Drosophila melanogaster: one gene and its partner. The protein of the gene in region 1 interacts with the protein of each later gene in a pairwise test. Each region holds a gene or a part of one and is shown in the gene's direction. Other genes may lie near its edges. The genes, in order: CG14995 and CG6569.

Region 1 (4,850 bases):
ACAAAGGAGTTGGTGTCCAGCGCTGGCTGCACGTATGCGATTCCATTTGCCTCCGCCACCGGAATCTTTCGCTGCGGCAGCTTGGAGAAGTTCTTCTTCAGATGCTCCGGTTCCAGGGGCTTGCAGAAAGACAGTTCCTCCGGATAGCGAATGTCCAGGTCCTTGCACAAGCTCACAACGGCTCCGAAAGTTTTGGCCGAAAAGTTGACGCGGTAGTCCAGATAACGAAGATCGGGCATCTGCACCCTCAGTGTCTTGTGCATGGGCGTGAAGTGCAGAAAGGAATCCGATTGAACTCCGGCCTGGTCCAAAGTGGACCGCGTCCTGGTCAGCCAGATATTCTTGGCGGGCCACCACAGGGCGTGATCGGACCAATCCTTGGGCAACTCCGGATCCACCAGGTTCAGCATTACGCCGCCAATGTGCTGGTCACCCTTCACGCGCAGCGTCTTCTCCACCTGCAGATCCGTGATGAGGATCCGCAGGTTCCACGTATTTTCGCCCACATGAATCATCTTTCGCTAAAAGTTCCGATGCGCGGGCGTCTCTTCTGTCCAAAGGCGAAACTATAACTGCGGGTATATTTGTATAGTGTATATATATGGCACAATCAGAGTCTAAATTTGCCCTCGAAACGATGACGTAATTCAACTTACGTTCAGCACCGTTTTTGCAACCAAGTTTTTGTTGTTCTTGTCGTTGTCGTTGGCTGGCGGGGAGCGGAGAGGGGGGGACTGCGACTGTGGCGGTGGCGAAACTATATAGGCCCTTATCTCGCCAGATGTTTGCACGGAAACAGAAACGCCAGCGAAACAGACCCAACAATCCAACAAGCCGAGTAATCCAGATCAAAATCGTTGGATGTAGAGATGGTGGTGGTATGTATGATGATAAAAGGGGGGGAGAGGCGGGGATGTACGGATCACTTGATTAACACACGCCCAAGGTTACGATTTTGATGGCTTGCTTGCTGCTGCTTGGGATGTTTTGTTTTCCCGATCTCTCTAGCAATCGCAATTCGCAGCGTTTTCCTCGCTCTTTTCCTCGCACATCAACACACCGACGAACACTAATGCACGCGCTCAAAAATGCGATGCAAATTTTCACAAAACAACACGTCGCGGGCGACGAGACAAAGCGAACGAGCCGAGATAGAGAGAAATTAATTTATAAATAAACCAGCAGCAGAGCAGTATGACCGTTTGTCTGCGCATATCGATGGTTCGCGCCAGCGAAATCGAACTTATCGGAACGGATGGTAAGAAGTATAGTTTAAATTTTGTTAAAAATTACATCGAAAATTAAGCAATACCATTTACCGTTAATTCTCGTGCTTAGTTTTTTGTTATTAAACTTACTGCAAGAGATATTAACCACCATACATTCTTATAAATTCTACTTTCACAATTGAACCGTGGATAGGGCATACCTAATACATTAGATTCGCATGATTTAATATAATTCGTATTCGACTTGAAACGAATTTGTGTATGGCAATCTATTGTATTGTATCAATTGTATTGTATCATAATATCGGACAGGCAAAGAACAATGAAGTCGTGGAGATTGGCACTATTGTTCCTCATTTATTTCTTCGAATTGGCTTATTCCATACGTACCTGTGGCCCAGGACGAGAAAGGAACTGTCATATTAATACTAAGCAAAAATATCAAAGGCCGAAACATTATTAACGTAACCACATGTTAACAGTAAGCACATATTTTAAAATGAGGGTACAAATATGAAAAGTGTATCGATATTTATTTTTTTCCAGAAATGGGGGTCACACCGGCCCAATGGTCATCTCTAAGTTATCGTAACGAAAAATATAGTTCTGTTGTTTTAATAATTTTAGTAGAAAGCAAATCTGCTATTATGAATATCAATTTAAATTAACGCATGTTCCAGTTAACTAATTTGTTATAAAGCAAAAGTACATGCATATATAAAAACAATACTGGTTTTTCTCCTCCTCTCTCGCTGTTTCGCTCTTTCCGCTCTTTTTCTCCACACCGCATTCGTAAACAAAGACAATGAAAGCTCCAGTTGAACGGCTAAAGAGGCCTCAAAGCCCCCAGATTGTTTTTCGCCGTTGAGCCGAGCGCACGTATTCGAAAAAACAACTAATAGTGTATAATAGTGCAGTATTGTGTAAAACACGCGCGTCTCTGCTTTCTCGCTCTGGCACCCACCCATACACTTTCGCGTGCCCATACACACATACCTGTAAGAGAGCGAGATACGAAAAACGGTGCATGGAAAATAGGAAAATCGGAACTGAAAAAGTCGGAATTTCGTTTAATCAAGTTAGCTGCGCGTACTACTGTCAGTTTCGAATTGAAAGTGCCGGCCCAGGGTTTTTCAAATAGTCATATCGTTAAGAAATTCGAAATAAGACACACACCCACAAGTTCTCGGACAAAAACATCTCGGCACGAAAAAATCGATGCAGCAATGTAAAAATTTGACAAACTCCCGTACCACAGAATGAAAGCAACAATTGAGTTACACACATATACATAGTGTAGTTAAGCGGTGTGTTACGTTCATATACATACTCGTAACAATAATAAAAAAAAGCGCGGCGCAACAACCCGAGCGGCTTATTCATCCATGCAGGAGATTCGAGATACAAAACATCAGATACAATAGCAAAACAGCAGTCTAGCATCGAAATTTTAGTCAGTTGAAAAAAACCGAAAAGCACAAGAAATTTTCATTTTGTTCGGTCCCTTAACGATAAATCCTAACGTTTTTGGCAATTAACGAATATTGTAGCTGTGGAAAGGAGCCACACTACAGCAAATACACCAACATTAAGCGGTTGATAAACCCGAACTCAGAGCAACTTGAAGACTGGAAGACATACGTAATTACAACAAATTGCAGCAACAACAAAGCAACGCCTACGACACGCCAGTGATTACAACAATAATAGCAGCAAAAGCAAAAACGAAATTATTTACCACAACAAGGCATAACCTGTTGTAGCTATTTCACTGTACTGCATTGTTGCTCACCTCTCGGCATCTAAAATTGGGCATTCACAAGCGGCTTATAGTAAATACGCGTTTAACCATCGGCTGTGAATACACAATCATTATATAGCCGGAATCTGCAAGTGGCACACCTGTGGCCACGGGTCAGTTGAACACCAGTTGGAGCAACAGCATCGCCATCATCATCACCATCACCATCACAGCCACAAGTACACACAATGTCGAGACTCACCGAGGAAATGGTGATAGCGCGGGCCAAGCAATCCGATTTGTCCCTGATCAAAAAGCTAAATTGCTGGTAAGTAGACAGCCCAAATAACTAGAAATATTTATAGAATATATCATCATATCATACTGAATAACGAAAGGAATGCTTGCATTAGTGCAATAACTAGATTGTTTGTAAATTTTTAGTCAGCGGCATATTAATCATGCTTTAGCAAAGTTAGGACGACTAATTGTTTATTATTGTTCAGACTCAACCCACTGTTAATTTCATCGATTTTCGATCTAATTTTCGCCTGTGCATTGATCTATTGCTAATCGTGCTGGGGCAGGTGCAGCCACTATAGTGAAAGCTTCGATCTGTGTTGAATGGGTCTGCGATCTGGTGTCTGGGGTTTGGGGGATCTGCCCACTTTGCTGCTCACTTCGGTCGCTCCGGCTGCTTTCACTCGACCCAATTCCAGGGGCAATCTTCTAACCAGTTTAGAAGTGTCCACTTTGGAGCGAGTCACGATTTCCTGGACTGGAAAAACACGCGCCCCTCGAGAAAAACGGTTGGAAAAGCGTGAAAAGCAGTTGAACTACTTTCCGTGATGGGCCCCCAACTCTTGACCCATCTGCGATAAGCGTGTTGCCTGCTAAGAGGGCTCCACTGTACATTATTTATCTTTATTAAAATGCCATCTATTCTGTGCTTATTTCAGGGGCAGTGATCTCAGCGATGTGTCCATCATCAAGCGAATGCGTGGAGTGGAAGTTCTGGCTCTTAGGTAAGTCACAAGTCGTGAAATATTTCTTCTATAAGGATCATTTTGATTTCCTGACTCGGTGCCTTTTGATTGATACAAAGTGTGCGGCTCGCCGCCGAGAGAATGCGGTAGAGATATATATATTAAAAAGCTAGCGAGATATTTGCTTTCCAGTGATGTCATCGCCCCATCATTAGGCAAGCTCAAATACGAAAGATACTTTGGCACGCTCAAGCGCGTAATTAATGCAAAAAGCTGGGGACGCAGAAAACTACAGAAAATAAGCTAAAAGTCGTGGGAGCTCCCAAATTGGCAATAGCAACTGGCCGCGTACTTTTCCAAGTCGCGTAGGCCACACTGCGTAGTGGGCAGATACTATAGTTATGACTCGTATCTGCTAGATACTTTTGTATCTCGCTGTGCCTTGTACCTCATCTGGTACTGCTGGATACTTGTTGTACTTGCATGTCGCTCGATAAGTTTGCATGTGCTGCTGCTGCTGCTGCTGCTTTTGCTGATTTCGCCACTTTTGCCATAAAAGGCGACAATCATTTTGACTGCCAAGGTCGCCGAAATCCATTTCACCCCCCCAAAAACTTCTGTCATCTGTTGGCAATGTGCTGAAAACTCTCGACTCTTGCGATTCGTTTAATTATGCATAAAACAGATATAGATGGAGGTGCATATATACAAGAGTTCGTGGCCTTATAGGGAGATTTGGCATTGAACTTAGGGGAAAAGAACCGTGAGAATAACAGGAAATAATAATTTAGGTATGGGCGAATCAGCTATTTCAGATGAAGCGAATAATATGTCGACCCAGTGAACAGGAAGCTATAATTATGGTATTGAAGTTGTAGATATCGCACCTTAAAC
Region 2 (4,107 bases), on another chromosome or scaffold:
ATTATAAATAGGACTCAAGTATGTGGTTGGGTCTTAATCGAAATTAGCTTACTTTGGGTAAAAATAAATTTATGGTATTTACGATAAATAAACAAATGCGCTTATTACTCGAACTGATTTACTTTGTGATCGAGAAACAAATGGAAACATGTTCCCTTTGCATTTAGTTTACTATCACCATTTAATTCAGTATAAATTTATCGAGTTATTGGTCTTAAAGCCAAGGATATAAAGTTTTAGGTTTTGGTTCAGAATCAGGACGATATGGACGACTTGAACGATGTCATCGCAAATTTGAGCATTAAATCCAAGAACTTTATAGATGAGGCTGCAAAATCATTAACCCCAACAATGGTGGGATTCAAAAGAGAACCTGAGCGAAATCAAAACTGTACCTACTTTATGCAGAATACCTGCCAGCTTTATCAAAACATTTCTAAATCCCATCCCAAGATTGAAAACAGTGTTAAATTCGATGAAGATTTTGTGATGCATATGGAACCTGAGATCAAGGTGGAATGCTCTGTTGATGATCCCAATAAAGAAGTTCAAATTTTGCTGTATGATCCTAAATCATTTACGTATAATATTTACATGAACATTTTTTTTTAACACAGAAAAAAGGAACGCTTGAAGCAGAAATATATGGAAGCTTTGAAGCTGGATGAAAACCTTGAAGCTAGAGTGAAACAATCGGCCATTGAATCCAATCCCGATATGGAGGAACAACAAGCTGAATTGTGAGATCATAACTTTATTTATGATAGCATTTACTTAACTTTATTGGCATTTATAGAAGAAAACTTCACAAGGATCAAGTGGAAATGTACAAAGGTGTGCAGGAAGAAATTATGGTTTCCTTCAAGAGAGACATGGATGATCTAATGCAACAGTATGAAGCTGAGTACTCGCGACTTAGTAAGGTCCACTCTAAGTGGGTAAATTCCGAGAATGATTCCACCAATAACTCAAACACTCATCAGCCTTAGTCATCGCTTAGGAATTTTTAAGATTTTAGCATTTTATTAGTGAAATCAAAACGTATTTATGTAGTTTCTTGGGTTTTAACATTTGACAATAAAAAATATTCAGTATATCAAATATTTTGTTTATTTTATACAGCTTTTTTATCACTTTTCCTTTGGCTTCAGCTCACTTAGTTCCGTCGCGCTCGGCCAGCAGATCCAGCATCACCTCGATCTTAAGATTACACATATTGTTCTCCTCCTCGAGGGCACGAAACTTCTTGTTCAGCCGGAGCATATCATCTACGTCACCCTTTCGGGTCGAATGCATCCAGATGCCGTCCGCAAAACGCAGCTCCTTGTTGCCCAGCGTTAGGGAAATCTGGCGGAAGTCATCCAGATCCTCGGTGGCCACCGGATGTCCTATATTGCAACGTCCCTGACGCACTGGAATCGGCTTCGACTCGAACTTCTTGTTGAAGAGCGGCATTGCAAACAACTGAAACGGAAAGTTGACCACATTTCGATTACATCCCCATTTGTTTGCCACTGCCCCGTTGCCCAGGACAACAGACACTTGTCAGGGGATCAGCGTTCGCGGCAGGACTCGTGCCAGGTTTTTAATGGCTAGTAAGACCGTATCCATATGTACCTGCTTGAAGGGTAGCGGCTGGCTGTCAGAGATTGACGAGGGGCAGCAAAAGGTTGCCAGTTGCATAAAATCGGTGAAATACAGAGAACTCCTTGCTGCACGCGGGGATACGGATGGATTTCTAAGCCAAACTGCCTTCAACAGGATTTTAAATGCCTGATAATTTAAAAGACAAAGCTTGCTTCATCGCAGAAACTCGTCTCATGTCAAACATAAACATTTTGTTTGGTTCATTGATGAAATTCTATACAAACACACAATAAACCCGATACACAACTCTGCTGTGAAAAATAATATGATTCCAAACACACAACAAATATGACACAACACGAAAATCAGCAAGCCATTCTCAGGTAGGAGAGCAAAGGAAAATTTGTCAACTAAAGTTAGTCAACGCGCAGCCAATTCACCATTTAGCAACTTTGTGCTGGAAATGTGTGAAGGAGTGGATCGACTGATGCGGGATCAGGCCGAACTGAAGGTTCACCTCAACGAAATTCTAAATGAGAACCGCCGGCTGGACATCGAATTGGCCAAATGCAGGAGCATCTTGGTTAGCGGCGATTACCAGGAGCTCAAGCATCGCCTTCAACTCAGCAACAAGGCTTTGGACGCGTCCAAGAAGCAGGTGGATGAGCTTATCAAGGAACGGAACAGCCTGAAAACCATGCATGACCTCTCCAAACAGACCATCGAAACCATGGAGATGGATCTTAAGAATTATCGCGTCCAATTGAAAATGTCTGGAGATGACCAGGTATTATTGCACTTCATCATTCCAATCCCGTATTGATTATCATATTATAGTAAGCTTTGACCAAATCGTATGTTTTAGGGACCAGAGACTAATGGAAAAATCCTAAAGTAAACTTCAACGTTTTCGGAATTCAATTTTAGGTCATACAGCGGTACTCGAAGATCGTCAAAGTGCTGGAGGCAAAAGTTGAGGACCAGCAGAAGGAGATACGCACGCAGGCGGAGACCATAAAGGCCCTGCACGATCACAAGCAGCACAGCGGATTGCAACTCCAGCAGCTGCATGCTCAACTGCAGGATAGCGAGCAGAGTCAATCCAAGGTGTCCATCCTGCAGAAGCAGCTTAAGGAGTACGAACTATCGCTGAGCCACACCCACAATTTGCTCATGGAGAGCACAAGACGGGAAACCGCCGCCATGCGCAAGCTCGAGGAGGCTATCATACTCAGCGAAGAGGCAAACAAGGAGAAAATAGATGCCACAAAGCTGGCCGAGACCTACAAGGAGGAGATGACCCACCTAGCCTCCAATATCGGTACCATAATGGATGAGGCCTCCACACGCGTCGACGTTGAAGTGGGCCATCTGAAGAATATGCTCAAGCAAAAGGACATTATAATTACCACCATAAAGGAGAAGGTAAAAGTCTATATTCGTATAATAATTATCACTTATAGTTACACTTACAAATTTTAGCTGAAAAAACTGGCTGTCGATCATAAGTCGGTGGTGCACATGCTGGAGACCCGGAGCAATCGCCTGGAGCAAAAGTACAAGGAGGTGCTGAAGCAGAACGATAAGCTGGAGGCCGAGTTGGAGGCAACTTGCCGGCGACTTGGCGAACTGGAGCGATCCGTTACTGAAGCTTACGGTGGGGATGCCGAAGATGCCAGGATGTGAGTATACAACATAGACAATTAATGACAAACATGATTATAAATCATAACGCTTTTAGAAAAATGTACTATAAGTCTCAAATGGATCGCTGCATAATGGATCACAAGAAAATGAAGGAGAAATACCGCGAGGGCATGGAGGACATCACGCAACGCTTCGAATCGGAAATTTACAAGTTAAGGGAGGAGAACTCCGTGCTGCTGGCGGAAAACGAACTGCTTAAGAGCGGTGCCGCAGGCGATAGCTCCAAGCAGACTTCACGCTGATTTTACGGTTGTACAAATATATATTTTATGATAACTCTCGTACATAATAAATTAGTTCTACGAGATCACACTATGTGGCGGCCGTTGTCTGTGCGTTTCGACCGGGAAACAAACTGGGAAACCAATAGGCTGGCTCATCGCCCGCCTGCTTGTCAATCCAACAGAGACCTTCGCCGAGCACCTTGTCCAGTGACTGTTGAGCACGATAGTCGGTCCAGCTGAGAACGGATAACACGGAAATCAAAGGGATATTCAGTTGAAAGTACAAGTGAAATTCTTACCCCAAATCCTTGATCAGCTGACTCTGCGTAACACAGCCTTGTTCGGTATTGGATGCGGCATTCAGTATGTTGGTCTCCTCCATGCTCAGCTCTCCGGGAATGGACTGAACTATGTACTTGCCCTTGCCCAGCTTGTGAACCACAAAGCTGAAGGTACGTTATGGAAAACGAGAAACTTGTGATATTGAATGCAAGCAGAGGTAATGACCCATACCCGTTGCCAAAAATGCTCAATTTCTTAGCGGCCATTAGGATGTCCTCCTTGGTGATCTCCTGGTGCACTGAACTCT

What was found.
Region 2: the proteins of CG14995 (region 1) and CG6569 interact in a two-hybrid assay, tested with the Drosophila melanogaster proteins (one large-scale study listed by BioGRID).

Annotation. Positions count from the first base shown.
Region 1 is NT_037436.4:4,099,925-4,104,774, reverse strand, and holds the start of CG14995 (uncharacterized protein), read left to right. Parts: upstream 1-1,814; 5' UTR 1,815-3,218; coding exon 3,219-3,298; intron 3,299-3,560; exon of another isoform or gene 3,561-3,594; coding exon of another isoform or gene 3,595-3,779; intron 3,780-3,929; coding exon 3,930-3,995; intron 3,996-4,850. Other genes in the region: Fit1 (fermitin 1), read right to left, coding at 1-515.
Region 2 is NT_033777.3:21,865,672-21,869,778, reverse strand, and holds CG6569 (uncharacterized protein), read left to right. Parts: upstream 1-1,859; 5' UTR 1,860-1,935; coding exon 1,936-1,970; exon of another isoform or gene 1,971-2,034; coding exon 2,035-2,374; intron 2,375-2,424; coding exon of another isoform or gene 2,425-2,427; exon of another isoform or gene 2,428-2,452; coding exon of another isoform or gene 2,453-2,485; exon of another isoform or gene 2,486-2,514; coding exon 2,515-3,012; intron 3,013-3,069; coding exon 3,070-3,269; intron 3,270-3,328; coding exon 3,329-3,536; 3' UTR 3,537-3,606; downstream 3,607-4,107. Other genes in the region: CG31174 (uncharacterized protein), read left to right, coding at 265-560, 618-740, 797-989; lsn (larsen), read right to left, coding at 3,607-3,754, 3,818-3,964, 4,032-4,107.